Linked DNA regions of Drosophila melanogaster. The protein of the gene in region 2 interacts with the protein of the main gene of each other region in a pairwise test. Each region holds a gene or a part of one and is shown on either strand. Other genes may lie near its edges.

Region 1 (10,799 bases), on a different chromosome or scaffold from region 2:
CTGGGACTCAAGCAGATGATTGCCGAGGTGGACGAGGATAACGATGGCAAGATTTCATTCCGAGAGTTCTTGCTGATCTTCAGGAAGGCCCAGGCCGGGGAACTGGACTCCGATTCTGGGCTGAATCAGCTGGCCCGCCTCACGGAGGTCGATGTGGAGCAGGTGGGAGTGAGCGGAGCCAAGAACTTCTTCGAGGCGAAAATTGAGCAACAGCTGCGGACGAACAAGTTCCACGACGAGATTCGGGCGGAGCAGGAGGAGCGCCGGCGAGAGGAGGAGGAGCGGGCCCAGCGGCGTCAGCAGTTCCAGCAGCGGGCAGCGATCTTCCAGTAGAGGACTTAGGTTCGCCCTTAGTCTAGCGAGTAATTATCTGGCGTAGGTTAATCGAATGTGGAACTAATCCCGGGAGAAGAGGATACGCTTCGTACAAGCATTTTTCAAGCATCACATACTCTAATTATATTCATACTTATCGCCCCATACATATAAAAACTCGATTTGCTGGCAAAAACATCTTGGGAATTGAATGTTATCTTTGACTAATGTTTGTTTTGGATCTTTGAAGTACCCATCACAACTTATCAAGTAACAAAATATAACGTTCAATTTCTAATATATATTTTTTTAAAACCAACCAAACTGAGCCACTCTAGCCAGGGACATATGCATACATACGTACATTAATAACGATCATACCAAAAGCGTATTTATAGTTAACCTTTAGTTAAGTTTAAAATGTTTTAGATTAAGAACTACTTTATTGTTTGGTGTTGCGCAAAATTTCATTGTTGAATTACGTTTATCCTTGAGGGTTCTCCAAAATGTATGCTTTTTACTTTATGATTTTGTACTTTTAGTGCCATTTTTATGTTCTTCGTTTTAGTTTTGTTAAAAATAAAATTGATAGTTATATTAAGCAAATAAACTTGTGAAATTCAACCTTCTTTGTATATACTAATCCTATGTTGGCAGTCAATCTTAGTTTTTTGCTTGGATCAGCCTAAAGTAAAACAATAAGTTTCGATTCAGTATTTCACGTTTAAAGTTAGCGATTTAAGCAATACTAATGCGTTAAATACGAATACACAAGAAAATACACGTACTTTTAGAGAACGTTTACTACAAACTTATACTGCAATTTAAATAAATAAATGTATATAATACAAAATATTTAAGATCGCCTTTAGTTTTCCCCCTTTCAACCTTTTCAAAAATGTTGTTCCGATTTGCGAAACCTCGTTCCTGCTCAATGAAGCGTCGGTTTAATTAGGTTAAATTACTTATTGTAAGTAACCTTGACTAGCGCCAATTTCATTCCCGCTGCGAACCCTTCATCACCTTGCGTGCCGTACTGGAAGACCACCAACTAAGTACCCCATAGAGTGACTAGGCTTAATGCATTTAGTGCATCGAGATTCAGATCATCTGTGGAAAGAAAATTGTAGTGGCGTGTTATCGCACATTGTTTTTTAGAAAACAAATTGGTTTTACCTCCAAGATTATAGCATTTGCTTGAGTAAATACCATTTCCTTGTCCAATCGTGAGTCATCTCCAGGGCTTCCTGTTACTCCCCGGCAGCTGGACCTTTTCGCAGGGAATGCCTGCACCTCAGCATATCGCATTTCAGGGCGTAGCGATGCTGGCAAACCGGACACTCATGCGGCTTGAGCTGCAGGTGGTAGCCCTTAATGTGTTGAGACAATCCGTTGCGTCGCTTGAAGACCCGCTCACAGATGCCGCACTTGTGTTGCCGCTCCGTCGAGTGGGTGATGTTATGCTGGCGTAGTCCGTTGAGCGAACCGAATGATTTTTTACAAATATTACACTCAAATACTTGGGTGGGCGTAACTTTCTTTTTCGAATTCATTGCCGTCTGCACCTTAGTTTTGGATTTTTTGGGCCTGCAATTGAGTTCATGACGACGATACAGGCGCCAGTGGGCAAAGGCGATGGCCTGGCAGTGGCGACACTTGAAGCTCTGAAGGCGCCGATGGTTTTTGAGCGACAACGATTGACATATGTATCGCATATGCTGGCGAAGACCCAAGCGGGATCGAAAAAACTTTAGGCAACCAGAACAGCGTCCTGAAAAATTGGGTATTAACTTTACAAAGTGTGCTTTCTGACGACGGTGGTGGTGTAAGTTCTTAAACTTTGAAAATCCCTTCCTGCACATCCGGCACACATAGGTTTTTCTGTGCACCTTCCTTGGTGACTTCAGTTTTTTGCATTTCAGCTGCAACTTACGATACCTGTTAGCCAGTTTAGCGTAGCTAGCAGTCACTGCAACCAGTTGAGGATCAGGTGCGGGTGCTGACAGTTGAGTGGCTGTCGGTATAAGGTCTTTGTGATGCAGGAAACTACTCTGCATATCTAGTATATCAATCTTTTTCCTAGGTTGCTTGGATACAGGACTATTATGCCACTCCAACGGCCAGTATTCGGATTGTTCAGTGGCCACAAGACCTCTGTTGCTTTCCATTTTCATTGGAGGGTTCATGGTTAAGCTGGGAAGGCATATATTCATCGGAGGAACACTAACCATGGGAGTGGAATTACTGTGACTGTGTGCATAATGCTGATTTAAGCTATCTATTGTTATAAATTTGGCAGTGCACAAAGTGCAGTTGTGAAGCCGAAAAGCCGCTGAGGATTCGACCACACTATCGTTAAGTACCACGATGTTGGGTTTGATCGACGTGGGAGGAGCAGGCTGTGGCAGCAGCTCGCAGATCATTGGGTTAGGTATCTGGCTTACATTGGTCACAATGGGCTTGCATGAGCGCGGTTCGGGGGCCGAGGGAGGGTCTATATTATCCTGAAGAGGAGGGGGATCAGCAGGCGGAGGAGCTGCGTCTGGCGCAGCATCCGTTCCCTCCACCTTTTCCGTTTTGTACTGATGCGGGGGTAGTTGCCACTCCTCCTTCGCATAATTGTGCTCTTCGGTTAGGAGTTCGTTTTGCAGCATTTCATTAGCCGTTCTTCCAGGCTGTAGTCTCTCCGACTGTCCCACATCCGCATCGTCTGGAATATTGATAAACGGATCGTCCAGATTGATTATCTCCATGATATCACAATTGTTGATAATGTCTTGGGCATTTAGCATAGGGAACTCGCAGAACTGAAACTTTTGTTCAGTTTCTTCCTGATCGCAGCCATCGTCCTGCTCCAAACCCATGTCCAGTTCATCAGGAAAAAGATTGTCCAAGCTCTCGCAGGCCTCCTGTTTCACACGAACCAAGGGTTCCTGTTTGATTTTCAGTTGTCGGCGGTATTTTCTTTGCAATTCACTCTGCGCCAACATCACCACATCGATGAACTGGGAAAAGCGCTCCAATTGGAGGCAGCACTCCTGGCATATTTCCTTGGGCAAGGTGTCGTCCTGAAGAATCTGTAGCGTAGGAAAGCACTTCTGGATCATGCCAAAGAGCTCAAAACTCTTGTCAAACGAGGAGCAATTGATGGCCGAGGAACCACAAAAGCGGCAAGTGGCTTTAACACCTGTTGCTGCTGATTCGGCGGCACTAGAAAGAGTTTGCTTGTGCGTTGGCCTATTGCTTGGGGACACCTGTTCCAAGTGCCCACTCATGGAGTCATCTTCCGAAACCCTAATTGATGGCACAGCATTTTTCTTAAGCGTTTTCCGATTATTGCTGCAATTAAAGTCCTCATCACCAAAGTGCCGACTGCACAGCGCACTCCATTTTGAGGGCATCCACTGAGCACTCCTCTGGGTAAATTCCTTCCATTTCTGTAGAAGATCCTTCCGTTTGAATGGAAATCTTTGGGAGAATAGAAGCTATAGTGTAATCTTGTCAATTGAAAATCAACTCACTTACCTGTGAAATGAAATGCTGCCCGCGTGCACATACTTATGGCTGCAATTTATCACGGCGCAGTGGGCGGGCATCTTAAGGTATTTATGGTACAATAATTTGTAATAATTTGCAAATTTCTGTTGTTTACATCTGTGAGCTAGCTGTTGTTTGCTAAATCAGCTGGTTTTGTTTTGCTTCTGAAGTGTTCAGTGTTGGAAAATGCGTCTCACATATTGTTGATAGCGGTCTTTTTTCTTGCAGTTCTGAATTAATAACGAAACTTTATTCATTTGTGTTTGCTATCAAATACGACCAAATATAATGGGATTCCGTATCGAATAAAAGCAAATTTAGGGTTAAAATTATATGTTTGTTTCTTGTAAATACTTTTTAGTCGAGTAATCAGCATGATCGTATAACCTGAAATATTTAAAATGAAATAAAAATTTTAATATTGTTAGATTACAGAAAATTTGCAAAATGGCAGCTGGGCACATTAAATCTTATCAACAAACCGAACAGCTGACACACACGTCCTTACCCAACCACCCCCTTTCAAAAATAATCCGTCACACTTATCAATTAGCGCGTTTATGATCGCCCCTCGGCCCCACAAATCGCCCAGATGCTCGGCCCGTGAGCATATTTATTTTCTCTCGCCCCACGGAAAACTTCCACGGGCTTCAGTCTGTCGATTCGCTCGAAAGCGCGCTGTACGCACAAGTTGGCGGAGGAGAAGGCAAGGTCAAGCAAGGTCTTTCTTTTCGGGTTGGTAAATAATCTAAATTCTACGTGCGTGCGCGGGTGGTGAAAGCATAAAAGAAAGAGAAATGGCTCAGGTGCGACTGCTGGTACAGGGACTTCGGCGTAGCCTACTCAATGTGGGCGTGGCCGCGCCCAACGAATCCACAGCGACCCACAAAAGATCGCAGCACAGCTCGTCGAGCTGCGGGTAAGTCTCTTGAGATTACGATAGGGTTCTCTCATTTTCGGGGGTGTTCCGATCCTAAGAATCTTTTCACTGTTTGCAGAATATCATTTAGGTGTTCCAAATGAGCTAAGTAAGCTTCTTTTCATTTAGAATGCGCTTTTAAAATCATGTTTAGTTAAGCAATGTATATTCTATTTACTTTTGTATTCTTAATTGCATAGCATAGTCTTTTCACTGCAATCTGCAGCCTTTATCTTACTTATTAGTTCCCAAGATCTCGACGTTCTTGCGGTCTGACAGTCGATGAACATATTGATATGGCTAGATCGACTTGACTGATGATCCTAATCAAAAACGTGCCCGCACACTCTTTACTCTAACGGATATACAAACATCTTTCTAACTTTTAAAAACTTTAGAAGTCTTAAGTTTATTTAATTTTTGAGGCTGTTAGCTGATATGTTTTGTATTCCCTCAGAGATTATGATCTGGTTGTCGTTGGTGGTGGCATCGTCGGCGCCGCATCTGCCCGGGAGATTGTCCTGCGCCATCCATCCCTCAAAGTGGCTGTCCTGGAGAAGGAGTGCAAGCTGGCAAAGCACCAGAGCGGCCACAACTCCGGCGTCATCCATGCTGGCATCTACTATAAGCCTGGAACCCTGAAAGCCCGCCTTTGCGTGGAGGGCATGCATTTGGCCTACGCTTATCTGGATGAAAAAAAGATCCCGTACAAGAAAACCGGGAAGCTAATTGTGGCCACGGATGAGAAAGAAGTGAAGCTGCTGAAGGATTTGGAGAAGCGTGGCATTGCCAACAACGTACCGGATCTGCGAATGATCGAAGGCAGCGAGATTCAGGAGATCGAACCCTACTGCCAGGGAGTGATGGCGCTCCACAGTCCGCACACTGGTATCGTTGACTGGGGATTGGTTACCGAGCATTATGGTCAGGATTTCAAACAGTGCGGTGGTGATATCTACCTGGACTTCAATGTCAGCAAGTTTACCGAGACCAAGGAGGGCACCGACTACCCAGTGACCATCCATGGCGCTAAGCCCGGTCAAACGGTTCGTACCAAGAACGTATTAACCTGTGGCGGTTTGCAATCCGACCTGCTGGCTGAGAAGACTGGATGCCCCAGAGACCCCCGCATCGTGCCTTTCCGTGGAGAGTATCTGCTGCTGACCAAGGAAAAACAGCATATGGTCAAGGGTAATATTTATCCGGTGCCGGATCCACGTTTCCCCTTCCTGGGAGTTCACTTTACGCCGCGAATGGACGGATCTATCTGGCTGGGACCAAATGCCGTTCTGGCTCTGAAACGCGAAGGTTACACGTAAGTCTTCTTAGAGCTCATATTTAAACTTGTCTGACACTTCACTTCTTCCAGCTGGGGTGACATTAATCTTTTCGAGCTTTTCGACGCCCTGCGCTATCCGGGCTTCGTAAAGATGGCGAGCAAGTACATCGGTTTCGGACTCAGCGAGATGTCCAAATCGTGGTTCATTAACCTGCAGATCAAGGCGTTGCAGAAGTACATCCCGGATATTACGGAGTACGATATCCAGCGTGGTCCCGCTGGAGTACGTGCCCAAGCAATGGATCTGGATGGCAATCTGGTGGACGATTTTGTTTTCGATCGCGGACAAGGATCGGGAGCGCTAGCCAAGCGAGTGCTTCACTGCAGAAACGCCCCATCGCCGGGCGCTACTAGTAGCTTGGCCATTGCCAAGATGATCGCAGACAAGATCGAGAATGAGTTCTCTATCGGCAAGTGATGCCTCTATCCCAAATAATGTAACCAAAGTCCAAAACTAAGTCCTATTTTCTGTTCTGCCTTTATGTCAGTAATGTCTGTACTGATTCGCCACTATCGCATTTCTTTTCGAAACTGTAATATTGATCTATTGTGTATAAAACAAAATTAAAACTTGTGTAGGTTTCTAAGATAGCCTTTAATTCAGTTCCAGTATATGTCGGTTTCTTCTTTGAGGTGAATCATCGTCCTTAATGCCCAACACCTTAATCTGCTTCTGTAATGATTTCTCCTCCAAGGCAGATTGTATCAGTTTTGTGCACTTTTTGTTTAAAATTTTCAGACCGTTTGCAGCATGCTGACGCATTTGAGGATCACAGGATTCATCCGCTTCAATCGCTTTTAAAAGGCGATAAATGGGGAGTAACATTTCCTGGTAATCCAGAAGGTTCTCCATGCCGTTTAATAGTTCAGCTAAGACCAGGACTGCTGCACGCTTAGAGGGAACATATCCTCCGGTGGTTAATTCGCTATTAACAAGTTGGAGTAACTCGTGGAAGAAGTTCTGCACTTGAAAGGCCAAAAGGCGACAAAGCTGGGCAAGATTGGCAAAGGCTGACATCCGGAATTCGTGAACAGGAGACCGGGAGCCGTACATGAAGCAGTTGAGAAGAACAGCCTTGTATCGAAAGCAAAGAGGACCTGGATGGGATTAGTATGAAAGTTTAGGAGTTATTCTTAGCTGTGTAGAACATTGCTTACCCAACTCCTGAGCGACTTTCAGAATAGCTTCACCCACTACGAGGCGGTAGTCTAAGTGAGCCGTCTCTGATAGGTACTCATCACTCAATTTGTCCAGCACATCGGACTCCATCACATGAACAAGCGACACAAAGAGCCGAACACAATTTAAGAAGGTGTAGGATTCCTTATCCTTGAGAGTGGTCAGGGCTAACGCTATGATAAGTTGACCCTGCGCTAAGGTAGCAGGATCTCTTTTTTTCAGCAAATCAATCATCATCTGAATTCCATACACTTGCATGTGGGATTGTTTTTCCTCTATCAAGGACCGAGCTCTTTGAAAAGGTTGTATTTTAACAGCCTCACTTGGTCGCCATGCGCCGTGAATTATTGTAAGCAATGATTTTACAGATTGCTGGATAAGAGGGTTGGAAGATCGAGTACCCAACAGGTGCAATTGTTCTTTCAGTTCCTTACAGGCCTCTGAAAGTTGAATATTCTCACTGCCCTCAAGAATTTCCTGCAAGAGGTTTAGAACGAGAAGTAGGATCTGATCCGTGGTATCTTGCTCTCTAGATCGGTGGACAAGCAAGTCTTTTAGTATATGTAGAAGCTCCTTGGTATGTTGTGATAGCTGAGCTCTTAATGGTTGGTGGGCTACCATTTGGTTTAAAGCAATGAGCAAATCTAGCTTCAGTTGATATTTGGAGTGCAGAAAGTCTTTGAGCTCTGCTTCTGATGAAATAAAATCTACGCTGGCTGAAGATTTATCATTTATCTGTTTAGCTATGAAGCCCAGAAGAGAGAGGAAAACTTTGCAGGTGAGGGAATGATGAGAGCTTGATGTGAGTAGACCGGGCAATATTCTGCCCATATCGTGATCTGCTAGATGATCTTTGTGAGCTACTTTAACCTGAATTTGAGTTGTGTTCATGGAAGGCAGGATTATAATGCGTGGGTTTAAACACTTCCAAGGAGGTTCCTTCTCAATTTCCCATTTAAACAGCTTCTGGAGTATCGCAGGTAATTCGTTTTTCATTTCTCTGTTGTCCAGACAACGCAAAATAATGGCAGAAATCTGCGATGACGCCGGTAATTCCATTGGAAGGCCATCGTAGAGTTGGAGCAGCAAAGGAAGGTAGGGAACGAGTAGATTACTGGGTAAGCAAGCTACGGTTGAAGAACAAAAGAGATGCTGCCATAAGAGAATGCGATTGCACAGTTCCTGGTGATCCATTAAGATAAGGCCATTAATAATGTCTTCTGGGTTACAAAGCGTTTCCCAGTGTTTGAATAATATTTCTTTTATCAGCTTTTGATTTGTATCACTTAAATCGTAAAGTCTTCTGAGCGATAGGACACCGGCGCACATTTTGTCCGCATTCTGCAGATAGAACTTACAATATTCTAGCACCTGGAGAACCATCTTCTCTTGCGCTAACTGAGAAAATCCTTTTCTGGCCACAATACTAGCCACAATTTCCGCATTTCTGGAAGAATTCACATTGGGATTTTGATGCAGGGCCTCAACAAGACTAGCAAATCCTTGGGGTAAGTGAAGCTTTCCTAAGAGTTGACGGTGCAATAATTGGGCCAGAGTTGGGCAGAGAGTCGTAGCTTTAAAAAGCAAGATGTTGCGAAAGAAATCTGCTTTGGATTCATATTGCCAGAGGTAGGCTATAGCCTTATCCAGCAGTGGAGAGTCTTGCTGCACACGTAGACTCACAATGGCCGCCAGTAGATCCCTTTGCACCAGCTCCATCGAGTTGGCTATGTGGTATTGTCGAATATGCAGTAGATTAATAAAGAACTGAATGCTTAGAAGCATCAATGAAAAGTTAGCTTTGATTTTCCCCTGAGCCTCACAAAAGATGGGCGACTTGTAGAAATCCTCATGTAGCTGGCATCGAAGCGAGTAATATGATAATTCTTGGGAAGCCTGGATACACAATTTCAGGTGCGCTACCGAAATAAGATCCTCCTTGGCGTCGCTGTGGAAATTAATGTTCCTCATGATCGAATGTAGCACATGTTGCAATCTTATTATATAGCATATAGTACGATCCGAATCGGGATCAATACTAGATTCGTGATCGTCTGTTAACTGATATTCCAGGCACAGCTCATGCAATTGCTGACCAATCTCGAGTTTAGCATATTTTTCCAAAATTCGCAGGTTGATTTCCAAGGCTTCGGCAGTCCCTGAGTTATTCGCCGTATTTGCTGTCGAAATATTAGTATTAGGGATACTACAATTATTATATGATGTTAACCAATTTACCTAGAGCTTTACTAAACCTTAAACTCTCTAGAAGAGCAAAGTACTTGGCCGTATTTATCATTGTTATCCCAGCAAACTACAATTTTGCGAATTTAGCGACCATTTGCTAGAGATGCTTGTTTACAATTGCACCAGCACAATCGATAACATATTGATAAGGGAAACACGATGTTGGCAGCATAGCTAATTAAAACTGCGCGATAGTTTAATGCAACTGTAGCTATATGTTTTATTGAAAGTAGAACCATATTATCTTTTTAAATTGGATCAAATTACAAAAAATTGTTATCATAAAACCTATTTTGTAAACGGGGATTTCCTTGTTTTCAGAATTTCGAGATTGCAACCAACTTATCTATATATCGATAGGCGGCTGCACCAGCCGCGGGTTGCGCATCTGACTGCAGCAAAGCGCCCTGGTCACACTGGCCCAACAACTCGAGAGCAGCAGGAAAATCGAACAACTTTCTTTTTCCACTGCATTGTGTGTGTGCATGCAAAAACACAAAGTGCGCAGAATAGCTTTATTCAGCTAGCCGATACGACTCGAAAGTGGATTAATTGGCCAGCGGCACCGACGCCCCGCCCACCGTCAGCCGCCCTCGCAAAATTAAAAATTGCCAAAAACACCTACGCGCAGGCAATTAAGACCGTGTTAGCTAGTGTGCGTGTGTGCTCGCGAGTGTGTGTGTGTGTGTTGTGCTGCTGGGGCAGTAAACATTTTCTAGTGAAAATCGGGGGAAAATGAAGAAAATCCTGTCTAAGTTCGAGCGCAATGAGAACTCTCGACTGGAGAATCCGCCCAACAGCAGCAGCTCGTCGTCCTCGAACGAGAAGAACAGCTTCGTGGGCAAGGTCTTCACAGTGGGACGCGTCACGGTCACCGTGGAGGATGTCCTGGCAGAAGGTAGACGACTATATATACACTCTTATATATGTGCTCCCATTCCCCTACCTACAACACGTCGCCCGCGATTATGCTTATCACCTGCCTGATTTACAGGTGGGCAGTAGCCTGCCGTCCGCTTTTCGGTCTCGCCCCTCGTCACAGATTAGATAAACCCCTTCAGCGCGAGAACTCCCAAATGTGGGGCGTACTCAAAGCGCTAGAGAGCATAAAAATCAGCTGCGTATCCTCCATAATTGGGGACACCACTTGTCGCATTTCCGATTAAATCCAAATAAATTACTCCCAATAATTTCTGTATAAGATGTTAAACTCAAAACAGCTAAAATCTGACTTTGATATATTATCTTTTAATAAAACTGTA
Region 2 (9,788 bases):
GTACCTCCGCCAGTACTCCCAGCAGCTCAGGCAAAGGCGGCTCGTACTGTGCCCACTGCTGACCGAGTTCCACTGCGGACGGATTGGCGATTATAATAAAAACGTTAAATAATCGTACTTAATCCCAGTTGCTCACCTGTGATGATTTCGTTGTACCGCACGATTCGCATGGCTTGCCATTGCTGGAGAGATCTGTGCTCCCGTTTGTGGTTCCATTATAGATGCCACCTCCCGCCTTCGTAGACGTTCCGTTCCCCTTGCCATTGTTGTTATACTGTGGTATGTAGACCTGCTTGAGCTTCAGCTCCGCCTCGACGGCCTTCACTCGCTTCTGCTGCACGTAGCGATCGGTGGTCTTCCACATGTAGTAGTACTCGATGATTTGTTTCAGCGTTTTCCAAGGCAGCTGAAAGGATGATTTTTATTTTTGAATCAATAAAGATTTTATTCTTACACACACAATCAACGTGCATTGCCACTTACGAAATCTTGTCGAATGTCATTAAAGTCTTTGCCATATTTTTCTAGCGCCTCTTCAAAAAGATTCGCCTCCGATGCGCTCCAGTCCTCGATTTCATCGCGACATAGCACAGGCCCAGTGGAAGGAACTAGCGACGACATGGACTCTTCAATAGAGTACTCGTGCTTGTGCAGAATGTTCATTGCGTGAAACTGAAAGGTAAACGCCAGTAAACGTCAGATCCCATCATAGATTTGCAATCATCTCTTACCAGTGTGATGTCCCTGCTGGCCGCCGCGGCGGACATGTGCAACGAGGGCTGCTTCACCGAACTGCTGCAGTCCAGGGCGCGGGCGAAGGTGCCGATGGAGCGTGACACGACCAAGAACTGGTCTATCTTGCGGTCGGTCAGGCTGTGCTCCGGCGTCCACACCAGCGATTCGAGTTCCTCCAGCTTGCGGTCGTCGGTGGCGGTGTCCTTGAGCTTGGCGGGTATATCACACTGGTAGCGACTGCCGACCCGGATCTCGCCCTTGTCGGCAAGCAGCGTCTTTTGATTTGGATCGAACACCAGACAGTAGAAGAATGTGTCCTGTGGGTGGATTTATTAAGCAATTAGAATTGAATCGAATGGAATCTTCCTAGACCAATTTCCACCCAAATACTGCACTCTTTCTTCAGGAACATGGATCTTACGTCTTTATTAAGATAGCTCTGCAGGGACTCCGTCTCGTTGAGCAGGGTCACCGAGCACTTGCCTCGGATCTGTGTGGCGGGTATCGACTCGACTTGGCGTGACAGAAATAGCTCGCGGTGCTTGATCTGATAGCGCTGCTTGCTGGTCAACGCTTCGCCCTTCTCCGCGTCGCCTCCTGCACCTCCGGAGCCTCCCGCTCCACCTCCGATGGCAGTGCTGCTGCTGTTGTTGTTGGAAGTGCCGCTGCTGTTGCTGCCGGAGTTCCCGGTGGCTGAGCCTCCTCCGCCAGACGTTTGCGTTGGACTGGTGCGCTCCTCATCCAGGGCAGCTAAAAGAATAAGCCAAATCATTAGATTCTTTCATTCGGTTCGGAATTTTAAGATGGTGACTGATTATTTAAGCTAGAGTTAACTTTTAAAGTAAAATGAAATAAAATTTAAATATAATAAATATAAATATAATAAATATAATAATACAAATCAGGTGTTCCATATCAGGTATATTGAATTTAAAAATAAATTATGATCCCATTAACCAGAATAGAACTATGCATAAAGATTATCAACTTAGATAGGTTACTACACTACTGAAATTACCATCGTGCTCTACATAAAGTGCAAAACATACAAAATGAGGGCATAAGTCTGAGTCTGGGTCTACGGGTCTACGGAAGTGGCAGAGATAGTATTTGAGTAATCATCTGGAGGTGGTACCTATTGAGGGATCGAGCACAGCCTGCGCCGCCTGCTCCTCGCTTACGGGTGTGCGGAGCCAGGTCTTCTTCAGCTTGGTCGCCAACGGTGAGTCCTCGGCGGTGGCCACTGATGCGATGCGTTATTTTAGATTTAAGATGGTTAGGAGTATGATTTGGTGCGTTTTGGGGAAATGCGTTCATCGACAGAGATCATGTTTATAAGTTAAAGCATTTTAGTTAATAAGTTTGAAAGAGACACCTGAATGCGAAGACAGGTGAGAAATAATCTTTTAAGAGTCGTTGTCATAGGCAAAGGAACTAAGGATGCAGGATGGTAATACGAACAAACAAATATATGACGACCATATATATTCCTTCTCGATAAGGACTCACCAAGCATAAATGATATGAAATCGCACTAATGTACCAAAAGACCAAACAACTCCCTAGGATACACAAATTTAAAAGATGAGCAAAGAACCCTTCAAGCAAAAAGTAAATTCCTGGTTGTTTTACAATTTGTCCAACTTTCCTATACTTCAAATATATTATCAATAATATTATTTTTTTTTTATACAAGCAATACAATTGAAAATGTTTAAGCGAATTCAAAGAAAGGTCATACATGTATGTATGTCCCTATTTTAATAAAGTGACGCTACTTGAATCTAAACGTTATCTATATAATATACATCTCAGCTTTCCCGGAATTTGTGTTTTGTGAAATCCGAAAGTAACCCTCATGAATTTCCTGGAAGTTCGCTGGGCTGATTAAAAAATATACGCTTGGCATTTCGCAAAGGGCGGAAGGGGAGGAAGGTGAGGTGGGCGGTGGACAGCACCACCACACCTCCTCGGCGGACACACGGGCGTGGGTGCATGGCCTGAGTCCCAGAAAAGAGCCGAAGCTGGGTACGTGTATTTGTGTATTTGTATTTTGCGCTTGTTTCGAAGACGAAGCGAGAGCAATCAAAAAGGGGCGGAGGATGGTGGATGGCGGTGGGTGGTGGGTGGAGGGGTAAAGGCTTGGGCGTTATTTGGTGGCCATAGATAGGACACACAAGTGGGTGGGTGCGCCGCTGCGGGATTTGTTTGCCATTCGAGCGTATCTGCTTTCTATACCCTTTCCAATTCCCGGCAAACTTCAAGGTCTGCTATTGACAATGTGATTAGCCGCTGAGAGTGGTTATTTTAGGCTGTGAGCTATGTACTATCACATTTAACAATAATTAAAATAGTAAATATAATGTTATGCTAATGATCGTAAGTACTGGCTAGTACTTAGATATTTCATTCTAAGCTTAACAAAATACCATTTTCCTAGTGGCAAACAGAACAGAAACTAACAGAAAGTAAAACAGAAGTATAAAATATAGTAATCATTTTATTTTAAAGGTTTTGAAGTGTTTCTGGAGTTCGGAAAACCACCTTTCAAAGATACTTGCATCAAGTCCGTAGCTTGGGGTTGGAATGGCGGCACACTTGTGCCTCAAATGTATATTTTTACGCTAGTTTTCTGCGCCTGATTAGCGAGTGGCCTGCGAAAAGGCGACGCACGCAAATAAAAACTGGATCGTGGAGCGTAATGGATAACTTATATTAAAAATAAAGCAAGATGACAGTGGTCCGATGATGTTGGGGCCGAAAGGGGCTGTGTTAATGGGCATTGTTGGTCTTGTGGGAGTGTAGGAGGTAGAATGGGGTGGTGGATTGGGGTGGGTTGCTCTGCCAGGTCAGACCCACGGAAAACGCATTTTCGCGACGGTCACGTATCGAATTCGAGTGGGTGGCCAAAGCCAAAAATTCAACCCAATTGGGCATGGTTTTTGTGAGTTTTTTGGAACGGCGAAGAGGAAGTGGATGAAGGCGCTGTGTGTATGTATACACAAATGCAAAGCGCGCCTTCCTGCGTGTGCCACATCGCCATAGCTTCACTCCACTCCACTGCTCCATTCCAATCCCCTCCAGATCCCAACTTCTGACTTGAACATTTTCGTGCACACAGAGCAGCAGTGTCAGTGGGTTTGGGGTTGGGTTGGGCATGGGTATGTGTGGCAGCTTTTCAGAGGTAGACAGACTACTACTGTAGTCTACCTACAGCCGAACCAAGTATCACATTCACATTGACGTCGGCGCCGCCTAGCAGCAACCGAAAACAGCAACAACCGCATTACGGGTAGTATAGTGCAGCCCAGCTCATTACAGTCGAGCATCATTAGAGCAAACCGGTGGCACCTTAACGTATGTACATATGTATGCCTAAGGTTGAACTTAATAATTTACAGGCTATTTCCGCACCACGATGCGTGTTTATGTTCATTACCAGTTCCCAAAACACCTAGTTTCTATGACCAATATCTTTTTAGACTATTTGCTAAATGCTTTTTCTAATTTGCGACACGAATAATTCAAATTGCGCTACTGGAACGTAGATCAATGGTGCTTCTGGTTCGAAGTAGAGTGGTTACACTGCCAGTTGATGTGGCAGGTTGTTTGAAGGTTCCACTGCCTGTTTATGTGGATGAGTCGGATGCTGGACGAAATCCGTTTTCGCTCCGCCCTCACAGTTGTTGTCATTGCGGTTCTTGTTGCTCAGGAAGTTTGACTAGGATTGCGGGATGGGGTGGCACTGTGGGAGGTTGGGTGGTTCGGTGGGTGGCTTCGCTTTCCACATGCCTTGACACAGCGCACACAGTGGTGCCCCTTACGGGTTCATTTTGTTGTTGTTTTGTGGTGGGCATGTGCTTAGCAGATCTGGTCGTCAGGTTTTAACTCTTAACTTGTTTGAAGGCCACGACAACGACTCTTGGCAACATAACCTCACTTTGTTGACAATAAATATACACACTTAGAGGTAACGTAACGCAAGATATGGATGCGGTTTCGAGGGAACAGGGTTTCTCTACTCACGTTGGTGTTTGTCGGCCAATTGCACGAGCGGATTGGGCAGATCCCGGCGGCGGTAGAAGCACATGACCTTCGCTTCCACATTGCCGGTTTGGTTTTTGTTCAGCTCCTCGATGCGTCGTATTAAGTAGGGACTGTTCGGCGTTGTCTCAACGTAAACATAGTCTGAAAAAAAAACAGTTTTTGAGGTGGCTGATGCAAAAGGGTCAGAAAAGGGCATGGAAGGGTGGGGGGCTGCAACTCCATTAATACGTCACAGGTAAGCGCACACATACACCTATACACGCATCCACCTAAGTGCGACCACCACTACCAGCTAAAGCGCAATTAAATACATATGGGTCTATCCATCCATATAACTTTATACCTACAACAACTGCAGCGGAACCTGTCGTTGACTATTATAAAAAATAAAAGAAATTCCGTTTATCTGTATGTACATACATACATAGATACAAACGTCGTGTGCACTTCTGCTACATTTTGGGATGCAGATACACAGATAGATGGGTAGATAGATGAAGAGAGATGAAAAAGAAAGTGTGGAGGCAGCGAGAAAGCATTGCCGAAGGTGTGTAACTGTGTGCGTGGCCATTAAAAACGGCTAACAAAAAACGCCGATGGAGACAAAAAGTTCTCGGCGATAAAGAGCAGATAATTCGACAAGTATATATGCCATTAATATTTATTTTGATTCCGTTAATTGAAAGCTTGCGTATCCGACCGAGCTTATTTGCATTTCGAAAGAGCACACACACCCACACACTTGCGAAAATCAGGTGAAGACAACACAATAACGTCACCGCTCGAGCGCGAGCGAGATGGCTAACAGAAAGTGCGTCAGGCAGGGTGAGGAGTGGGAGGCGTGAGATGGGGGGAGATGCTCAAAAGCTCATTAGCATATGAAAACACAAAAAGGCGGGTGGGCGGTGAGCCCAAAAGTGAGATACACTTTCGCACATAGTCAAACAAACACACACGCTGGAGAGATCACAATTCGGCAAAACCAAATCCAAATGCAAATGCAATTCAGTTCCCCAGCCCTAGAATACACACACACGCATACACTTAGGGCATAAGTTAATGCTTATCGGTTGGAACACGTCGAAAACACTTGCTGCAGCTGCGACACAAGAGCAGCAGGGGGCTCCTTCAAAGAAGTTAAAAAAAATAGAAAAGGTCTCTCCTTTTCGACGGATTGTTCTTGAGATTGATAATACACGCACACACACACACATACACGTGCGTCGGGTCTCCCACTAAAGGGTTTTCGGCAATTAAAATGCACTTTCGTTATTGTTGGAAAGCCTCCTCAGACACAACACACACGCATACGCACACATTGGACACACACACACATATGCAGAAGCGAACACGCACACCGTGAAACGGCGGCGCCGATAACGAAAGATGATAGAAAAGCGAGTACGCGAAAATTTTTCTCACCTCCGACTCGATACATATTTGTGGCCATTTTCACTACGCTACCGCACCAAAACTTTCACATGCAAAACACTCGGCACACGCTTAGCACTGTTTTTCAATGGTCCTGTTCCAAACTAGCGCACATTTATTAGCAGAAAACTCGAGTTGTTATGATTGCATTTTTCACATAAGAAGACGCGTTTTTTTCGTCGCCATCTTAGAAACAACTCAACTCTAAAAAATACACGCACACACACACAATGCCGAGTAAACAGCTGCACCAGGGATGCACTCCACGGTGCGATAGTTTGGCCATCGATAGCAATCGATACATGGGGTGTTGGGTAAAAACTTAATGTTAAAATTTAGTTGGGGCGATAAGAAAAACGATAAGGGGCTTTTCTAGGAATACGATTTATATTTATTTATATTATATATACTTCTTGAATAACAATATATATCATTAAGAAAATTAACTGAAAAAATTATGGGCGAACCTTGTTTTATTTATCATTTTCAAAACATATTTATTTTCACCCTTTTTTTCTCATATTAAAACATTCATTCAATCGCATGGGGCGCATGCGATAGTATCGCTTGAAAACTGTCTTCCCTAACATGCAACGTTTGCACTTAAAATTCTGTAATAGTTCGTAGTCTAGGTTTCTACGTTTTGTACGTTTGTATAAATTGTTTCCAGAGTGAGTGCTTTGATTTGAAGAGCCTCTTAAAGACTCATCTCGCGAATTTGTTTACTTTCGCGTGAGTATTTTGGCCGTCGCCAGCACGAAAGGTGTCACGACTCGCTGTCAATCCGTGACGTGGCCTGACCGACCGATTTTTCCAATTGGCAGAGGTCTAACAGAGGTTTTTCCGATTTAAGTATTACATTTAAGTGTTCCGGCGATGACCACCTACGAGGAGTTCATCCAGCAGAACGAGGACCGCGACGGAGTGCGGCTGACGTGGAATGTGTGGCCCTCAAGTCGCATCGAAGCCAGTCGGCTGGTGGTGCCCCTAGCTTGTCTTTACCAGCCTTTGAAGGAGCGCCCCGACCTACCGCCTATTCAATATGAGCCGGTCTTGTGCACTCGCAGCAACTGCAGGGCCATCCTGAATCCACTGTGCCAGGTGGACTACCGTGCTAAGTTGTGGGTGTGCAACTTCTGTTTTCAGCGCAATCCGGTGAGCTCAATGGTGATCTTTAGACTCTCTGCGGCAGTTTATGACAGTCATTATTCCAGTTTCCCCCTCAATATGCTGCCATTTCCGAGCAGCACCAACCAGCGGAGCTGATTCCGGGATTCAGCACTATTGAGTATACTATTACACGGGCCCCCACCATGCCGCCCGTCTTCATTTTCCTGGTTGACACCTGCATGGACGAGGAGGAGCTGGACGCCCTCAAGGATTCGTTGCAAATGTCGCTAAGTCTGCTGCCAACCAACGCTCTCGTGGGTCTGATAACCTTCGGAAAAATGATACAGGTGCACGAGCTGGGCGCGGAAGGCTGCTCTAAGAGCTATGTGTTTCGTGGTACCAAGGACCTGACTGCCAAGCAGGTGCAGGATATGCTCGGAATTGGGCGTGGAGCGGCTCCGGGGCCGCAGCAACAGCAGCACCTGCCCGGCCAGCCGGCTGGAGCGGCGGCCCCTGTGCCGCCCGCCCATCGCTTCTTGCAACCGATCGGCCAGTGCGACGCGGCGCTGGGCGATCTGCTTAGCGAGTTGCAACGCGATCCTTGGCCGGTGCCGCAGGGCAAGCGTTACCTGCGCTCCACTGGTGCCGCCCTATCTATTGCGGTGGGCCTGTTGGAGTGCACTTATCCCAATACGGGCGGTCGCATTATGACCTTCGTGGGTGGCCCTTGCTCCCAGGGCCCCGGCCAGGTGGTCGACGACGAGCTGAAGCACCCGATTCGTTCGCATCACGACATCCACAAGGACAACGTGCGGTTTATGAAGAAGGCTATCAAACACTATGATGCTTTGGCATTGCGGGCAGCCACCAACGGGCATAGTGTCGACATATACTCGTGTGCCCTGGACCAAACCGGACTGCTGGAGATGAAGCAGCTATGCAACTCCACTGGCGGCCACATGGTCATGGGCGATTCGTTCAACTCATCGCTCTTCAAGCAGACATTCCAACGCGTCTTCGCACGTGATGGTCGCAACGACTTGAAGATGGCCTTCAATGCCACGCTGGAGGTGAAGTGCTCGCGCGAGTTGAAGATCTCCGGTGGCATCGGCTCGTGTGTGTCGCTGAATGTGAAGAGCCCGTCGGTGTCGGATGTGGAGATCGGCATGGGCAACACGGTGCAGTGGAAGCTGTGCACATTGAATCCCAGCTCCACCGTAGCCTACTTCTTTGAGGTGGTCAACCAGCATGCAGCCCCCATTCCGCAGGGCGGGCGTGGCTGCATACAGTTCATTACGCAGTACCAGCACCCAAGTGGACAGCGGCGAATCCGAGTTACCACACTGGCCAGAAAGTATGTGTTGGCATAAATCAGCCCAGAGTTTACTTACGTGGTTCAATCTGTTTGTTTTTCAGTTGGGCCGATGCCACCTCGAACGTGCACCACATCAGCGCTGGCTTCGATCAGGAGGCCGCCGCAGTTCTGATGGCCCGTATGGTCGTCTATCGTGCGGAGACTGACGAAGGACCCGACATTCTGCGCTGGGTCGATCGTCAGTTGATTCGTCTGGTAAGTTTTCAATGTGCAAAATTACTCGTGCCCAATTAATTAGTATTGTAAATGCTTTCCTTTTACAGTGCCAAAAGTTCGGCGAGTACTCAAAGGACGATCCCAACAGCTTCAGGCTGTCGCAAAACTTCAGCCTATTCCCGCAATTCATGTACCACCTGCGCCGCTCGCAGTTCCTGCAGGTCTTCAACAACTCGCCCGACGAGACCACATTCTATCGACACATGCTAATGCGCGAGGACCTCACCCAATCGCTGATCATGATCCAGCCTATTCTCTACAGCTACTCGTTCAACGGCCCTCCAGAACCGGTCCTCCTCGATACGGCTTCCATCCAGGCGGATCGCATCCTCCTGATGGACACGTTCTTTCAGATTCTGATTTACCACGGCGAGACCATCGCCCAGTGGAGAGCCCTCAAATACCAGGACATGCCAGAGTACGAGAACTTCAAGCAGCTGCTGCAAGCACCGGTGGACGACGCGCAAGAGATTCTTCAGACGCGCTTCCCCATGCCTCGCTACATCGATACGGAGCACGGCGGATCCCAGGCCCGCTTCCTGCTGTCCAAGGTCAATCCCTCGCAGACGCACAACAACATGTACGCCTACGGGCAGGTGAGTCTCGCAGCCAGCGCCATCAACTGGCCACATTTGATTGATCTTTGCAGCGCTCCATTTGGCGTCATCGAAAATTTAATCTCAATCGAAATCTCAATCTCGTTTTATGTTGGTTTTGTTTCTCTCATTGTATAATCCGTACCCGTATCCGTAACCGCTCCTTTGTCAATCGCAGGCGCCCATCGGTCAAGTCACGGTAGTACATATTTGTTTAATTTTCAACTTTTAAACTGGTGGAAAGGTGGATATTTGAAATTTAAGGGGCGGGTAAAAAA
Region 3 (10,098 bases), on a different chromosome or scaffold from region 2:
ATGAGTTGGGCCGGATTTTGAACCAATAAACTATATTGATAATAGTAAAAATCTTACACACTTAACATTTTATAGTATTTTATAGCTCTTGACTTTCGCTAATTTATGGTAATATAAACATAGAAAAGTAACATACATAGTTCAGTTTGAGGCAAAGTGAGATTTAAGTTGCTTACTGTGTGTGGAAATTTTTCAGTCGTTTGAAAGGTGAGCAATGGAGACGAAGTTCGTGGTCATAACTTTTCTAATAAGCTACGTACTTGCCCAATCGAATGGTTAGTATTGAACTAACTTAAGATCTCCAATGTGATTTCCGAACTTTTTTCAGCCGATTGTGGCAATAAGCCAATTGTGGATGGAAATTGCGATCAGATAATCAAAGGATTTACTTTTGCAACCGAAGAAAACCGATGCAAAAAGTTTAGAGCAAAGGGTTGCACAGTGGGCGGAAATTACTTTCGAGCCAAAGATGAGTGCGAGCTCAAATGCAAGGGTTATATAAATTGGGGTATCGAAAGCTTCGGAAACGGAGATTGGGAAGAAAGTGAAATTGAGGACTATTGGAATAATGGTTCGGAAGAAAGCGAAGTCGAAAGCATCTCGAATAGAGGATCGAAAAAACGAACTCTCTAAAAGAAGCTTGAACTGAGATAACATCGATGAATACTTGACAGCGGGGATTCAGTTTATTAAAATGGTAAATGGTAACATTAAAAATTTTATTTGGCTACACTGTAAGCTACCTAATAAATTATACAGTTTTCTATATAAAATATTGTAATATTGTATTCTTTCATTGCCAGAAGTTGTCTTTAATTCACTGACCGTTTCCTACTCCACTTGAAGTGTCTACTTTTGGGCTGACCCTGCTAATTGTCATCACCTGCGAATTCCCCCACACCGGGAAAGTGGAGTTGTCGCAGGTGTTGCTGTTGCTGCTGCAATTACATTTGGTGTGGCAACTGCCGCTGGCAGCCGGCAACTGGCGACGCCAAGCCAAATGCAATTATCCAATTGCACGAAATGCACTTGGCAATGTTTGTGGCCTAGACAATGCAACACAACTCGCTGTGTCCAAGTGTGAATCTGTGTGAGGGTGCTGGCTGGCGAGTGTGTGCGTGGGTATCTGTGTGTGGACGTTGGAGCAGCACACGCGAAATTCAATTAAGTGCGCACTAAACAGCGCAACGATTTCGATTGGACTGCGCTCCCTAAAACGCCAAGTGAAAACGAGATGCACATGGGAAAATCCCATGTAAGTCCTGTCGTTTTGAAATATTTTAAAATTTAATAAATGCCTTATTGAAAAATGTGTCGTTTCTAGTGTTGGTCCTTCGAGCCGGATACATTGATCACCATATGTGCACTCCATAAAATGTTTAACGAAATTCGGGTAGCGCAACAGCTTTAGTTAGTTTTCCACAGTGCAGCAGAACGGATGGGAAATGCTAAACGGAGGGATGGGGCTGGTGAAGGGCCTGCAGATTGGTGGAAATCTGTGTGCTAAGCCTTTGTTGTCCAGTCGGTCCTCGGACATGGGCTTAGTAATGGAAGCTTGCGCTAGTTTCTGCCACGAGCCGTCGCCAAAAACGGGGAAATTCAATAAGAGCGGGAGGATTACGATTTGGAGGGGACTTTGGGTGGGGGGAGCACAGCAGCGGATGTGGATGCAGTGTTCGCCAAATTGCATTAGATGTACGGAGGGATGCAGGCGGGGCCAGCTTCAAAGGTCTAAAATCGTTCGGAAAAGGGCCATTGAACCACTCTGTTAAATGACTCTTAAACTCTTTTTCAGTCAGGATTGAATTTTATTGTTTATAGTGATGCCTAACCACTTTTTTAATGCTTGTAGAAAATATAGTCATCTTGCAGATTGTAAATGAATTATATCCCCAAAATATTGTATTTTTAATTGCAATCACGCTGATTTCGAATTTATTTATTTCCATAGGCCTCTTCACAAGTGCACAAAATAAAATACGAAATTAACTCAAAATTAATTAAAACGCATCAGAATATAATGCAATTTGCTGCAGCGGCAGAAGCGACAAATGCTGAGGGCATTATGCAACAGCTGCAGCTATAAAAAGTAATATAAATATAAATTAATAATGTCACGAATGACAACAACAACGGCGTGGAGACAAAACGAGCAATTGCATTAATTGAGCAAACAACAAAGTGGGAAATGCAATGCGTCTGGACAACGGAAAGCCCAACAACATTGGATGCACATGAATATGGATGAGTCTGGACGCCAATGCCAATGCACTTTCCATGCAACAAATGCACTTCGCTGCGCCAGCGAAAAAAAAATACCCGCGCGAGCATCCGGAATTATCAACTGTCGCTTGATTAATTTGAATTAACCAAATTAAAAATGGAAACACAAGTCAATCAGCGAGTGCAACACCCAGAAGCGATGAGCAATGGGCGACCAAAAGGGGATCATCAGAGGGGCACAGAATGGTCAGTTAAAACATATATGGTCAGCATTTTGATAATGGAATAAGAACAGATAACTTTCATTATAATTTTCTACGTGTCATTCAAATATGTATAAAATACCATATTCAGAAGGTCAGAAGACAGACATATTTTTGGAATTTTTTCCTGCACTTTTGCCGCCTCTTGAAGGTCAGATGCAAACCCACCACCGACCTGCTTTCATTCCCAGGGCCAGTTGCACTAATGGACTTATCGGCCACTCGAATCTCGGTTCGCCAAATCGCGACGAGACGCAGAAACACACAGATTCGCAAGAGTGCAGTGCAGCTGGAAAGTGGGATAATTCGCAAACAGACTGCTGCAGTGCCTCCGCTTGTGGATATCACATCCATGGGCATATCCACGTGCGCATCCCTGCTCCAAAGCCCCGTCCCGCTGGCATTAGAGCCACTTAAACGCATTTGCGAAATTGCCTACCGCCCACCCACACACTCGTTTAGCTCTAGTTTTCCTAGTTTTTTTTGTTTTTGTTGTTGCCCCAAACCGAGAGCGCGATAATTTCCCACTGAGGTGAGATGATATGGTAATGGGAGGAGGAGGAGGAGGTGGAAGTGGGTGGCGGTAAACTGGCCGTCCAGCGATGAGGTTATCACTTTTGCCACCGAAGTAAAGTGCATCCGTTTTTAGAAATGTCTGCCTGTCCGGCCGGCGTAATCAAACTAAACTGGCGCAGTCTGCCACTGATGATCCAACTTGGAGTGGGCTGTGATATGATGGATACAGTAGAGCTTCCAGGTGCGGAAAGGATTTTTCAATATAATATTCATATCACAGTAGCTGAGAGTTATGATCTATCTACTCAATGATCTATCTAATATTTAAATGAAATACATACAAGTTGTTACACTTTCATGTTTTTGGAATCTCCACTGTCTAGCCAAACCATTTGCATATGCCCCCATCTAAGTATCCCTCTTGATTGCAGTTTTGGTTGAGCGTTTTCCTTTTTTTTTTTGCATATTTTTTTGCTGCTCTTGTTTTTGTCTCGCGGCGCATTAAGCGAATTTGCGAGGTTCGAATTTGATTGTGTCAATTGGCTCGCGCCTAGAATCAGGGAATCAGAGCCTCAGTGTAAATCGGACCGAAATGATGCAGTGCATTTGGCCGGAGAGCCACCCACCAGCGAATCAGCGCCCGAATGCTGCACTGCAAAAAATGAGCGTAAATTGAATTAGGCAGCCGTGTTGCACCCCCGCCAGTTTTTCGTGTCCAAGTGCCGCCAGCTTATACAAACTCGAAAGCCAAACAGAGCCGATTCCGAAAGCTAACCCTTTCAATTATATATACTTGATATACATACATAAATACATATATGTATGGTATATCGTCATCTTCGGGGCGCCCGCATGGGGAGGAAAATCCGTTGATCACCCCTACTGACTTGGTCTTCTTGTTTTATAAATATTTTGATTGAATTTTCTGTTTAATTAAAGCAAATTGTTTTGTGCATTTCAGTTGGTTAGGGTATGGGAGGTGTTGGCACCATATATTTATTAAGCTTTGTGGGGGGTCGTTAAGTGATTGAGAAACACAGGGGATGAATTAAAGTGGGCTATGAAATTTGCTAAGAGTGTGATGACGAAATCAAATGAATATGCTATATACAGATAATCAGTTCTAATTGTCGAATTATTCATTATAAATATATTAATATATTACAATAAGTTAATATTTAGATGGTTAAATATCTTTTTGAAACTAGTGGTACGGTGACATGTCTCATTTGCATATGGAAAGCCTCGGCGAGAATGTGTGGACTCCAATCTATCCATCAATTTGGAGCATTCACCAATTCGTTGCCCAATTCAATCAAGCAATCAATAAACATGGCCGAACTAACCTCCTTCGACTAACGTTCTCTGCGGTAATTCCATTTGCTAATTTAAATATGCCAAATTGTATTTTATTTGTATGCGGCCCTATCGCACCAGCCCCCTTTTTAACCCCCCCATTCAGCGCCCATTTCACTGCCCCTTTTTTGCACCCATGCTTCCCTAATTGAGTTGAACGAATCGAACAAAACTTGGCGACGAATGGAAAAACCGTTCGTCAACTCCAATTGACTCCTATGTGGATCCATCCAGTCAGACTTCCCAACCCTGTGTGCCACCCACCGCCCTCTTGCGTGGGCGTGGCATCCAGTGGAGCGTTGAACGTTTGCATGGCTGCCAATTAATTTGCGGTTGATCAATTTAATTTGAAACTTCGTTTTCCCCACTTCTTTTTTTTTTTGTTTGGTTTGCTCTTTGGCGAATTATTTGCCATTGATTTTGTACCCTTGCTCCATCTCCGTTGCGCACATGGAGAATCGGAATCCACGAGCTGTCTCCTCTTTTTTTCCCTCTCTTAATTACCATCAATTATTCAAACTGCATTTGCGGAGTGATCAACTTTTGGTCTGTCTTCAATTAAGCGGCGAGTTTTCAACCGAAATACCCCATCCCTTGCTGTTTTCGGGGGCAATCTCCTTTTGGATCCTTGCTGCCGAATCCTTTATGCATACACCAATTTTGGTTTTAATTCTTTTTTCGCCTCCAATCCACGCTTCTTTCACATTTGCACTTCAAGTGCTTGACGAGTTTTGTGCGATTTCTCACAGGAAAGGCATCGGCACAAACACTTTTGCCAGACACTTCGGGTCTGGCTCACAAAAACACACACTCCAGGACTCCGGACTCTCGAAGGCCGAGATTCTTATCACACTGAAACTCATTAGGAAATTTCCTTAATGCAAATTAAAAGCGTCTAAATAAATTATGAGCGCACGGTGTGCTGCGATTTGAATGGGAAGTTGAGGATTATCTTTTGAATCAGTTGCTTGAGGATAACAAACAATTCGATCATAACGTTCCAAAACCCGTTAATAATAATTCTTTTCTAAAGGAATTTCCGACTTTGTTATAAATCAAATGAGTGCATAAGAGATATTACCTTATTACCGTCCGTGAAAATTTTGGCAGCAATACTTCAAGCGTGTGACAGAAGAAAATCCCTTGTCGCTCTTGTTTTTTTGACTTTTTGGCGCTGAGCTCTGTTTGAGTTTAACTTTTTCGCAATTTTCACAGAACGAACGAACACGCAAGACAAAGGTGCGAAAGTTTCCCCGAGCTAAACAAGTCTAAACACTTGCCAGGAAGTTTTGCAAAAAGTTTTCAACAAGGATACGTGGGCGAATCACAAAGGAAGTTGGGCAATGTTAAGGATTCCTCTACAAATTACACGCTCAATCTCAGAGGTAATAGGCCGCAAAGAGTAGTTAGTTTTGGGTTAAGAACAAACACACACGTAGGTTTAGCACTTGAAGGAGCTGGATGTCTATGAGGAGTTTTGAGTTTTTCCAGCCTTGTTCGCAGCACCGTTTTGCCGACGGAAAAGTTTCCTTTTAGAGATTAAAAAATTGTCATTTAATCCAGACGGGTAATACGTATTTTTTCGGGGGATTTAGTAAGATCTATATGACATATATATAGTAGTGTGGATAGTGTTCAACCGACCGCGTGAAACGTCAGAATGCGAATGATCTAACGGTGCTTGCCGCAGTCGCAACGTCGACAGCGCAGTCGGCTGCAAATTAGATCTGCGCCGGCAGAAAGATGGCTGCGGGTGGGAAAGAGATGGAGGAGGAGGAATGGGGATGATGCCCCTAAGCGCCGCCTTTGCCATTTCCCGTTATTTTCGCTCGCGCATGCGCCGCGCAGCCAGCAAACCAAAGCGCAGTTGTTTCGAGACATATACCCATCTCGCTCGCTCACCCAACCCCCTCACTCCCTCTCTCTTTTGCTCTTTCTCCGGCATGTAAGACAATTTTCTCGCGCATTTTCATTGTGGAAATTGAATTTTCGGCATGGAGAGCTGCAAAAACAAAAACAGAAACGTTGAAGGGGCTCTCGTGTTCCTAATATCCCTATCTACTCTTATCCCTATCTACTTTATTTTATTACACTTTATTTAGGTGGCAAGGAGAGAGCGAGCGAAAGAGACGGGACTAGCCCCAAGGGGGGGAAGGAGAGCGCAAACAACTGAGGCAGCCTTAAATTGGATTTTCATCGTTAAGTGTGGTGAATGTGTGTGGGGCAGGGGGGTGGGGGATGCGGGAAGAAATGGGCGATACGGGAAGAAGAATCGCCTTCTTCGGGGAATCGCTTTGGTGCTCTTCGGGGAAGAGGAAGAGGATACTACAGCAGTAACAATAAGAAAACGATTACTCACCGTTGGTATTTATTTGGCATATCATTTTTTACCCCTCCCCACCCCCCACGAACTTTTTCTTTTCTTTGTGCCCCACTTGACAACTCAATTTATTTAGATTAATCTCTCATCTTGGGCAAAAAATAAATAACTAAGTGAATTTCAGTTAATTTATTATGGAGCATCATTGTTATGGCTTTTCTGTTTCCTCCCCCAAAGAAGAAAACACCCCGTATAATAGCAATTCCCAATCCCAGTGACGCCATCTTGGATCCCATTTATTATTGTTTGCCTGAATGGGTTCCTCTAGCTGTCCTTCGCCCCTCGACCTCTGACCCCTCTCTCAACCCCACCCCCCCTTCTTGCCACATGGCTCTTTGGCCACAATTACGAAATGAATTTGTGGCCTTCCGCAGTCCCTATTCTTCCCCTTTTATGCACTGCCGTAATTCCATCACAAATCTTACCTGAAATGTTCTTATTCCTAGGTAAAACATTATATAAATATCAAGCGAAATAAAATACTTTGCTTTACAATCTTTGAAATAGTATGAGTAGATGCTCTTCAAATTCTAAAAAAAACATGTAATATTTTTTATAATATTTTGCAACTGCTTTCTATTTTATTATCATAATCCAATTGTAAAAACTTGATCATCATTTGAGAATATATTTTTTAAAGTGTTCTGAATTTGGCATTTTGGGCGTGCAGGATAACTATTCAGTTTCTTCTGGCTCTCCTACGCTCTCCCCTCGCCTGCCGCTCCTTTCATTTGGGGGTAGCCTGTCAGGCCTGCAAATTGGCGCCCTGATTTATGACTTTGTCTATTGTTAGCTTACTTCCTTTGCCACCCACAGGCTCCTGGATTGCGGCCCCACTACGTTCCTCCATCATTAGTTTGTATTTTAGTTTCATTTCCAATCCGAATTTCATTTCATTTTGCGCTTAAATTTTGTTTTGTCCTCTTTGATTGTGTTTATTTTCCACTCCCTCTACATTTTCGGCGCTTTTCTTGGTTGGTTCGTTTTAGTGGAATTACCTACTTCATAATAGATGAGTCTGGGATTCGTTTTGGACGCCAGAGAGAAGGCGTGGCACTCGGCTTCTAACGCCTCTTCCTTTGGCAGGTGAGTTTCCAGCGATTCGGAGGAGGAAAAAAGATTTTTCCATCCACGGAAACTACTCGTGTTGCATTTTCCACTTTGGGTGGATGATTTTATAACAGTTTGCTTGTCATAAAATTGTCAATATTGGCGAAGTTATCAGTTATGTGATAAGCTTTGTTGTTATGAGCTATTTGTTATAATTTTACAAAAATTACTTAGAGATGCGCTTATTAATAACTTAAGCAAATAGCACGCCTTGGCTTTCTTAATCTTCTAATATCTTTCTACAATTTGAACTAAAGTACTTATTTATTATCCCTTTTCCACCATTTTCTCGGTGCCCGGCAGTTCCTGGGTGAAATTTATGTAATTTATATGGGCACTTGACTGTCTAAATTGCCTGCAGAGCTGAGCCCCACCCGGCAGAAAACCGCCTCAATAGCAGGACAATCTCCAGTCTGCCATCCATTTACCCCCCCCCAACCCCACTTCACGTTTTTTCCAGCCCTCCGCCTTCCACACCCACTGCCCCTTTTGGAGCACGCTTTGCTGCCACTTTTTATATCATCTACTTAGCCCTAATGGCAAATAATTAATTTCCAGCTTCCGCGAAGCCAGTTCTAGCCTGCCACGCCCCCTGGCCAACGCCCACGTAGTAAATGGCCGCATGTAACTGCAGTTTCGCCCCCCCCCCAAAAAAACCCCCTCGCTGGCCCCTGAAACGACCGTTTTCAATTTACAAATTGCTTATTTTCCGAAAACCAAATTGCGAGTGCCTCGGACTTTTGCCAGGAGTGAAAACCCGTAACTGTAACCGGATCCGGATACGGATCCTGATCCGGGACCAGGACGAGGCCAGAAGCAGCAGTTAATGCATTTTACGTGCGGCCAGTTGGGTGGCGAGAAATAAGGGGGGTGTTGGGAAGTGCTGGGTGGGGAAAATGCGCTGCGGCGAAGGCATCTCAATTACGTTTATAAATTTTCCAAGCCAAAATGGCGCAGCCTCCGAAAATGAATAGCCGCCCGAAAGGGACAGCGCGAAATGGGGAAGCGAGACGGCAGGTGGCAAAGGTTTTGGGGCAATTAATAACCATTTCAGACCTCATCGAGATGCTGAAGCATATGAACCAGAAATATGAAAGGTAACTTAAAGTTGAGAAAAGATCTTATTAAAACCCCTTTTTAATATTGCCTACGCCATTGATCTCATAAGCATCAGTCTACCCAGGAAACTCATGAAATATCAACGGAAGTCCCCTTTCCGCTTGTCGAAATTTTATTAACTTCTTTTGGACCAAATTGCATTGCGGTTTATTTGGAGGCCACTTCCCATTGGCAAAAACCAACCCTTACCACTTTTTTATCGGCATTCCGATGCCTTCATCACCTGACTCCTGAAAACGATGCCCGTTTATTTATGATGCGACATTTCAACTCGCATTCGTAGGCTTGAAAAGAGCCTCGAAAATTTATGGGCGCCATCAAAAATTGTTTCAGGCACAAAGGAAAATAGTGCACTTCAAGTTATATAATATTAAAAATATTTAAAACAACTCCAAAAATATTAAAATGTTTTCGAGCTTTAAAATAACTTGCATGTTAAGTTTAAAGGTAAATATTAAATTATAAATTCGCTTAAGTATTAAACACAAATCTGTCAGTGTATATTTATTATTGGGTGAGTATGGGGCTGGAGCCACGCCCAGCGCCTAAGCAAATGGCCAAGACTCCATCGTTGGCCTTTCGGTTTTATGGCCTACGCATCATTTGGCTAAAAGAGGCAAAACGGCTTCCACGGAATCCATTTGGAGGCATGTCTTCGACTACAATTTGGGAATACAACAATTTGGAAGAAAAGGCGGAGTGGCATGGTAATCGTTCTATGAAATGCCTAAATAAAATAAATGGCTAAACAGAATTAGAGTGAAAGGAGCTGCGGCCCAAAAGTATGCGGAATGGCGTTTATTCAATGTTATTTATTGGGAAATGCGGTATCGCATTTAGGATATTTTATTTATCATACGGCTGTACATAAGTGGTGAATTTCTTATTTACGACGAACATTATTTGGCTCTTTTTTTATTGCAAGAAATAAGTGTTTTTTCGAAGAAAGGGTAACAATTTTGTTAAACAATTTAGCTTTTAGTATATTATATATTATAAGATCACATCTTTCCACTCTAAAAGCCAACGAAATTAATTAAAAGCGCAATTAATTTGTTTGACAGCTGAAGAAAACAGACGCCAAGCTTTTGGCTTATTTACAATAAGGGGGTAGAATGGGGGGCCAAAATG

Evidence for each region.
Region 1: the proteins of MTA1-like (region 2) and CG10431 interact in a two-hybrid assay, tested with the Drosophila melanogaster proteins (one large-scale study listed by BioGRID).
Region 3: the proteins of MTA1-like (region 2) and Drgx interact in a two-hybrid assay, tested with the Drosophila melanogaster proteins (one large-scale study listed by BioGRID).

What each region holds. Positions count from the first base shown.
Region 1 is NT_033779.5:18,967,889-18,978,687, reverse strand, and holds CG10431 (uncharacterized protein), read right to left. Parts: upstream 3,979-10,799; 5' UTR 3,912-3,978; coding exon 3,841-3,911; intron 3,784-3,840; coding exon 1,566-3,783; 3' UTR 1,492-1,565; intron 1,426-1,491; 3' UTR 501-1,425; downstream 1-500. Other genes in the region: Swip-1 (Swiprosin-1), read left to right, coding at 1-333; L2HGDH (L-2-hydroxyglutarate dehydrogenase), read left to right, coding at 4,650-4,771, 5,229-6,086, 6,141-6,528; Tango6 (transport and golgi organization 6), read right to left, coding at 6,706-7,208, 7,269-9,470, 9,529-9,589; Nak (Numb-associated kinase), read left to right, coding at 10,273-10,435.
Region 2 is NT_033777.3:5,642,293-5,652,080, forward strand, and holds the start of MTA1-like (metastasis associated 1-like), read right to left. Parts: upstream 6,447-9,788; 5' UTR 6,233-6,446; coding exon 6,205-6,232; intron 5,619-6,204; exon of another isoform or gene 4,979-5,618; coding exon of another isoform or gene 4,924-4,978; coding exon 4,762-4,923; intron 1,979-4,761; coding exon 1,871-1,978; intron 1,486-1,870; coding exon 1,157-1,485; intron 1,053-1,156; coding exon 732-1,052; intron 673-731; coding exon 484-672; intron 407-483; coding exon 137-406; intron 73-136; coding exon 1-72. Other genes in the region: Sec23 (secretory 23), read left to right, coding at 7,090-7,368, 7,428-8,677, 8,740-8,893, 8,962-9,510, 9,689-9,712.
Region 3 is NT_033779.5:3,658,648-3,668,745, reverse strand, and holds the start of Drgx (dorsal root ganglia homeobox), read right to left. Parts: upstream 6,002-10,098; 5' UTR 5,440-6,001; intron 770-5,439; exon of another isoform or gene 634-769; coding exon of another isoform or gene 329-633; intron 276-328; coding exon of another isoform or gene 215-275; exon of another isoform or gene 195-214; intron 56-194; exon of another isoform or gene 22-55; coding exon of another isoform or gene 1-21. Other genes in the region: Sfp24Bd (seminal fluid protein 24Bd), read left to right, coding at 1-21; Sfp24Ba (seminal fluid protein 24Ba), read left to right, coding at 215-275, 329-633.